Saccharomyces cerevisiae S288C: one gene and its partner. The protein of the gene in region 2 binds, or shares a complex with, the protein of the main gene of each other region. Each region holds a gene or a part of one and is shown on either strand. Other genes may lie near its edges. A codon is read from its position in the direction of its gene.

Region 1 (3,624 bases), on a different chromosome or scaffold from region 2:
TATATTTTGCTGTCTACCAAAAAGCAGTTCACTTGTATTTCCCAATTTTGCCACATTGTGGTGACTGTGTGGGTTCAACAACTGCCACCTTTGCAGGTTGTGCCATTATTTCTTCATATTTGGTACTATTTATTTCATTTTACATTAACGTTTATAAACGTAAAGGCACCAAAACCAGTAGAGTGGTAAAGCGTGCCCACGGCGGTGTTGCCGCAAAGGTTAATGAGTATGTTAACGTTGACTTGAAAAACGTTCCTACTCCATCTCCATCACCAAAACCTCAACACAGAAGAAAAAGGTAAGTGTAAAATCTTTGAAAGAATTTAAGTATTCAACTTTCGTATATTCGTTTTTTCTTAGTGGATCTATTGTTACTATTATCACTATTATTATATTGTAAAAGACCGGATGGTTTTGTTATATATTACATACACATGTTATCGTTGAAAAAAGTTTTCCGTTTCCTTTCGACAGTCATCAGATAATTTTATCCGAGTCTTTTATATGTTAAATCTTGTTGACAAATCGTCCGCTCTAACCCTAGATAACAACAATGATCTTTTTATCATTTCTGGCGTTATTTTAGCGCCTCCTCCCACTAATGTTAATTGCTTATAGTTACCTGAAGGAGCAGCGAGGATGGAGATCGTACTGTGTATACTTGTTTCTTCCGCTTCAGTATCTAGGTCTGCTATTAGCACAGTGTTCAATTTATCCATATCAATGTCCACTTCCTCTTCTTCAGAGTTATCAGAGTTTTGTAATTGGCATTCGGGGTCTAACTCCACTATCCCATAATTTGAAGCAAATGCAATATTCTTTGCGTTTATCATTAACGGTACTGACTTAGTTTGGTCGCAAATAATTTCATACGTTTCTCTTATGGTGGCACTTCTTCCTCTTGTTCTTATAGTCATTCTTAAATCGGACGCACGCTCATCTATAAATGCTCTAGGTAACTTTACGCTCTGTAAAGCGTACATCAAAGAATTCCAACACAAATCGAAGACTGGACCAGTGCGACTCAAGACTACAATTTTCGCATACAAAACGTATGACCATTTTCTTTTCATTTTCAGGTTTGTTTCATTCAGCGTATCATCTTCTAATTCATCGGGATACAAGACGGAAAACGTACCGTCTTCATTCGCACTACGAACACCAGCTTTTACCTTCAAGGCTTTTTTAGGCAATATCCTAGAGTGCAATATGGAATCGTGTAGTTTTTGTGATATAGTCATTTCTTCATCGGTGCAAGCGCCCACTCTACCTCTTTCAACTTCCACCACCGGATAGACAGAAGCATAATTTGCAATTATGTCCTCCTCTTTGGTCACTTCGAACAATTCTTCCTCACCGAAATCATCCAAATCTTTAATCGCGGCGCTAGTTTCTTCTATTATTCCACCCGTAATAGAAGTTATGACTATGGTTTTCCCACTTTTCAAAACATTTGAGCCTAAAATGTTGTTTTTAGTGTCTATATTACCAGCATCCGCATAACGCGATAAAGTATTATTTTCTATAGCAACATCTCTAAATTCTTCATATTTTCTTAGACATGGCCTGATTCCTAGGGATAAGTGTCTTTGTAAAGACAATTCTGGAGATATTCTCGCAAGAACTTCAGGTGGAAAAGTAATTGGGTGTATCTCAATAGTTTCTAACGTGGTACTTTCAGCCATTTCCAATATTAGATGCCTGTGAAACTACTGTCAAACTTATTTGTGTAACAATACTCATCGTCTAATTTGTCCATTATTGTTATATACTCTGTCATAAAAAAAGAAAGAAAAATCTTATACTTTCGTCGACTGTGATTTGAAAATCTCTCCAGATCAAACGGGAATAAAAGGGTTTATATCCGAAGGTGGCCAGAACAATCATGAAGCAAATAGGATAAAAATAGCCAATAAGATGTTTGTTGTCTTTCATCCCAAAGTTCCAACAGCATATTTCAAAGATGGGTATTACAGTAATAGGTTCTCTAAACTATGATTTGGACACATTTACGGATAGATTACCTAACGCTGGAGAAACTTTCAGGGCTAACCACTTCGAAACACATGCTGGTGGTAAGGGATTGAACCAAGCTGCGGCCATTGGTAAATTAAAAAACCCCAGCAGCAGATATAGTGTTCGAATGATTGGTAATGTTGGAAATGATACATTTGGTAAACAATTGAAGGACACTTTATCCGATTGCGGAGTCGATATCACTCACGTCGGTACTTACGAAGGCATTAATACGGGTACCGCTACCATACTAATTGAAGAGAAAGCTGGTGGCCAAAATAGGATATTGATTGTAGAAGGTGCTAACAGCAAGACTATTTATGACCCGAAACAGTTGTGTGAAATTTTTCCAGAGGGCAAGGAGGAAGAAGAGTATGTTGTTTTTCAACACGAAATTCCTGATCCTCTTTCCATTATTAAATGGATACATGCGAACAGGCCGAATTTTCAGATCGTATATAACCCCTCACCTTTCAAGGCCATGCCTAAGAAAGATTGGGAGTTGGTAGACCTTTTGGTCGTTAATGAAATTGAGGGTCTTCAAATCGTGGAAAGTGTATTTGATAATGAACTTGTTGAAGAAATAAGGGAGAAGATAAAGGACGACTTTTTAGGAGAATATCGTAAAATTTGTGAGCTTTTGTATGAAAAACTCATGAATCGAAAGAAAAGAGGAATTGTGGTTATGACTTTGGGTTCGAGAGGGGTGCTTTTCTGTTCGCACGAAAGCCCTGAAGTACAATTCCTTCCGGCTATTCAAAATGTTTCGGTTGTTGATACTACAGGAGCTGGAGATACTTTCCTGGGCGGTTTGGTTACTCAATTGTATCAAGGAGAGACCTTGTCTACGGCTATAAAGTTCTCTACATTAGCTAGTTCATTGACCATTCAAAGAAAAGGTGCTGCTGAAAGCATGCCACTGTATAAAGATGTTCAGAAAGATGCATAAAATCTACTGCAATTTTTTACTTTTAGTTTGTTAAATTTTAGTTTTCGTCATATATATAAAGTTTAAAAAGGTACAAAGAATGCAGTAATAAGAAATGTAATTACATGAGGGCAGTTTAAGTGCTACCTTTTAAGACGGAAGAACTAATACCATAACCGAGAGTAATTACGCAGACAAACGCTAACAACGAAGCAGGAACACCTCTGGAGATAAAAGCGCCTACAGTTAGCCATCTATTACCCTTTTTATCGGTCATAGAAATAGCAGTAACGTTTGGAAATCCAGATGAAGCCAACCCCATACCGCATGAGGCTAACAAGGCGCAACCGAACACAAGAATTGGAGCTGCCTTTGGATCGGATAATTTGTCACCAACTTCTTGCACCAAGGGAATAATGATGATTGCTGACACAGTATGTGAGACAAAAGTGCCCACAACTAACATTAAAATACCGAAAATACATAAGATAGCAAAAACACCATCGTTCTGAATTTTCTTTTGTAATGCTCTTGCAATAGTTACCAACAAGCCTGAAGATGAAACTGCCTTACCAAGGGCTATACCACCCATAGCAAGAACAACAATTGACCAAGGGAATGTGTTGAAATCCTTTGTTGATAGTAGACCTGTACCAAAAAACAGGACTATCGGTATTACT
Region 2 (3,163 bases):
CTACACCATTTGAAATTTCATTGCCGGTACTAAATACCACGACACCTGAACTGTTTGAGAAGGATTTGACTGAGTTTTTGACGAAAGTCAACGTTTTGAAGGATGGTAAATTTCGTCCATTAGGAAATAAGTTCTTCGGGATGGACAGCTTGAAACAATTGATTAAGAACTCAATTGGCGTCGAACTTTCGTCTGAGTATATGAGGAGAGTCAATGGTGACGCTCACGTTATTTCGCATCGCGCTTGGGATATAAAACAAACGCTTGATAGTCTTGCTTGAGTTTTTTTTTTTTGAGTATATATATTTAAAAAGTACTAGGATTCAAGTTAACATTTTGAATAGAAGTAGTTATGTTGTTGTAATATAATGGAGCTACCATATATGCAGAATGACATTATAAATTATGATGTTGATGTACAATGCCTTTGTGCGCTTCTTTTACCATGAATTTTTTCTTAACCTCTTTCACTTTTCTTTCCGACTAGGATAATCTCGTGTCTAAGTTTCCTGGTTCATTAAACAGCTTATCATTAAATCTCTATAACGGTTATATTGCTCCTTGCAACGATCAAGGCATTCCAAAAGATCTTCATCGTCACCATCATCCTTCCAAAAACCTACAATTTCCTCTCCATTTTTGATGAATGATACGACAGTGCCATTGGCCTCACCGGCACCTGCCATATCCACTAATTCGATGCCGGCATCAGCTAAGGCTAGCGTTATACTAGTGATACAATGTGGTATGAGAGATGATATTTGAGAAGACATCATTTTGCTTTGCGAATCGTCGTCCTGAGGATTATTTGTAAGATCCTTATCATACGTTAAATAAACGAAGATATCGATGCCGGACTTGGGGTAGCGAGATAGGTTTACTACTGAATTGAAAATGCCCATTAAAAAGCTGCTAACTTCCTTCAGTTCATTTGTGTTATATTTTTCCAGAAGACCGTTCTTTAACTGAATAGATATAGTACCTTGAGATGTGAAGGATCCTCTAATGGAGCGTGGTCCATAGACAGCGGTAATGAGCGATGTTTGGTGTCCTAAGCTTCTAGCTTCTACTAATGCAGATCCATTGCAGTTTTCGATGAAACCGGTATGTAGAGAAAGTTCCTGTTCACTTTCATTGCCTTTAGGTGTCAAATCTGTTGATTTCTTTTCTGGCACATGAGTAGTAGTGTTGCTAAACGCCATTGGCTTGGCAGCAGCAGGGCCTAATAACCTCCTTCTGTCTTGAACATTCATTTATTCTGATAACACCTTAATGTGAGTATGTTCCTACTTTTAAGTGGAGTATGTGCTAATCCTTAAAGGAAGTTTTCGTGGCTCAATCAAGCACAACGCCCAAGCTTTTATTTAGATATTCATTTCATATTACTGAAATTTTTTGAGTATTTTCCAAGGCCTTGTAATCTTCCGTATCTAGCGATCTCATCTCATCGTGAAAAAAAAAAGAGTAAGCCATTCGAAGAAAAGTTGGCAAATAGAGATGGTGAATGAAAGGTTTAAGAATGTATCCTATTTACTTACTAATGTACACAAAATATTATAGACCAAATTTTTCCTCAAAAATGGAATATAGTAATTAACGTAAAAAGAGAAAAAATTGAAATTGAAATTCATTTCATTTTCTCATTAATCAAATGTTTTCTTTGAACCAGCGAAAGAAGCGGTATTTCTTGATCTGCCCAATGGAGCAGTATTAGCACCAGAACCAGATGGTCTGAAACCGCCACGGCCACCGCGAGCGCCACCACGACCACCGAATCCACGGTTACCGCCACGACCACCGCCACGACCACCAAAACCACGGCTACCGCCACGACCACCATCGTTGTTTGGTCTTGGAGAAGAGAAGTCTAATCTAACTGGTCTGTTGTCAATGTATTCACCTTGTAAAGCGTCTAGAGCCTTCTTGGCGTCCTCCATGTTGGAGAATTGAACATAACCGAAACCTTTTGGTTGTTCAGTTTCTGGATGTGTTGGGATACGGACGGAAACAACTTCACCGTGTTTAGCGAATAATTCGAAAATAGCGTCTCTGTCAGCATTGAAAGATAAGTTACCCAAGAACAAAGTGTCAGATGGTTCAGATGGGGTATCACCGAATTTCTTGGCACGATCGTTGTTACCAGCTGGCTTGCTTGTGGACATATCACAGTTGATTGGTCTACCATCAATTTCCTTACCTTGCATTTCTTGAATGGCCTTTTCAGCATAAGATTTGTTTTCAAAATCAACGTAACCATAACCACGAGATCTATCGGTACCTCTTTCATAAATAACTCTGGCACCAATGACACCACCGATGTGTTCGAATTCCTTCTTCAACCATTCGTCATCAATAGACCACGATAGTCTACCAACGAAAATAGTAGCTGGTTCTTCGGTTTCTTCATTTTTTTGCTTCTTGTTGGAAGACTCTTCGTCTTCTTCTTCTTCGGCGTCCTCAGATTTACGTTTCTTATCGTTAGACTCTTCCTTTTCGCTTTCGCTATCAGAAGATGAAGATGAGGATGAATCAGAGCTAGAAGATTCTTTTGATTCTTCCTTCTTGGTTTCTTCTTTTTCTTCTTCTTCTTCTTCGTCGGAAGAAGAGTCAGAGGAAGAGGAAGAGGAATCCTTGGATTCTTCCTTCTTGGTTTCAGCTTCACTTTCGCTGTCAGAAGACGATGAAGAAGAGGATTCAGAATCAGAGGATGAAGATGAAGATGAAGATTCAGATTCAGACTCAGACTCAGATTCAGATTCAGATGAAGATGAAGATGAGGATGAAGATTCGGAGGAAGAGGAAGAGACGGCCTTAGCTTTTTCTTCTTTGGCTTGTTTGGAAGCCTTAACTTCCTTCTTGTTACCTTTTACTTTAGTAGTCTTAGCCATCTTATTTTATCCTGCCTGGGTTGAGTGATCCGAAATTGGTTAACAGTTCGTCTTTGGGAAGCAAAAGTAAGAAAAATACTACGAAAGGAAATAACTTAAGGTACCAATGGATTGGGAAGTGCAGACAGCAACAGCTACACTTAAGTACTTTTAATATTGGATTGAAAATTTTCGTTCTTGCGATGAGCTGCCCTTGCAAATTTTTCACCAAAAAAAAAAAAAAAAAAAGAAATGGAGTGAAAAAAGAAACGAAAAAAAAGGGCATGGGGACCCAT

What was found. The genes of interacting proteins can lie anywhere in the genome.
Region 1: the proteins of MTR3 (region 2) and RRP43 are in contact, whole or in part, in a cryo-EM structure (PDB 5G06), measured with the Saccharomyces cerevisiae proteins. Residues at the interface, in NP_011674.3 of Saccharomyces cerevisiae: Arg6 (codon at 1,238), Arg7 (codon at 1,235), Arg8 (codon at 1,232), Leu9 (codon at 1,229), Leu10 (codon at 1,226), Gly11 (codon at 1,223), Pro12 (codon at 1,220), Ala14 (codon at 1,214), Ala15 (codon at 1,211), Lys16 (codon at 1,208), Pro17 (codon at 1,205), Met18 (codon at 1,202), Ala19 (codon at 1,199), Phe20 (codon at 1,196), Ser21 (codon at 1,193), Gly51 (codon at 1,103), Phe52 (codon at 1,100), Ile53 (codon at 1,097), Glu54 (codon at 1,094), Asn55 (codon at 1,091), Cys56 (codon at 1,088), Ile74 (codon at 1,034), Tyr78 (codon at 1,022), Arg81 (codon at 1,013), Gln96 (codon at 968), Lys98 (codon at 962), Leu101 (codon at 953), Leu102 (codon at 950), Glu103 (codon at 947), Lys104 (codon at 944); in NP_009964.2 of Saccharomyces cerevisiae: Thr58 (codon at 1,514), Leu59 (codon at 1,511), Arg61 (codon at 1,505), Asp64 (codon at 1,496), Asn67 (codon at 1,487), Asp69 (codon at 1,481), Thr70 (codon at 1,478), Lys71 (codon at 1,475), Asn72 (codon at 1,472), Asn73 (codon at 1,469), Ile74 (codon at 1,466), Leu75 (codon at 1,463), Lys81 (codon at 1,445), Lys84 (codon at 1,436), Ile86 (codon at 1,430), Ile88 (codon at 1,424), Ser90 (codon at 1,418), Thr92 (codon at 1,412), Gly93 (codon at 1,409), Gly94 (codon at 1,406), Ile95 (codon at 1,403), Ile96 (codon at 1,400), Tyr131 (codon at 1,295), Pro132 (codon at 1,292), Val133 (codon at 1,289), Glu135 (codon at 1,283), Glu137 (codon at 1,277), Arg138 (codon at 1,274), Gly139 (codon at 1,271), Arg140 (codon at 1,268).

The regions. Positions count from the first base shown.
Region 1 is NC_001135.5:191,334-194,957, forward strand, and holds RRP43 (exosome non-catalytic core subunit RRP43), read right to left. Parts: upstream 1,686-3,624; coding exon 501-1,685; downstream 1-500. Other genes in the region: fatty acid elongase ELO2, read left to right, coding at 1-302; RBK1 (putative ribokinase), read left to right, coding at 1,964-2,965; PHO87 (SPX domain-containing inorganic phosphate transporter), read right to left, coding at 3,081-3,624.
Region 2 is NC_001139.9:804,769-807,931, forward strand, and holds MTR3 (exosome non-catalytic core subunit MTR3), read right to left. Parts: upstream 1,254-3,163; coding exon 501-1,253; downstream 1-500. Other genes in the region: CHO2 (phosphatidylethanolamine N-methyltransferase), read left to right, coding at 1-281; NSR1 (Nsr1p), read right to left, coding at 1,644-2,888.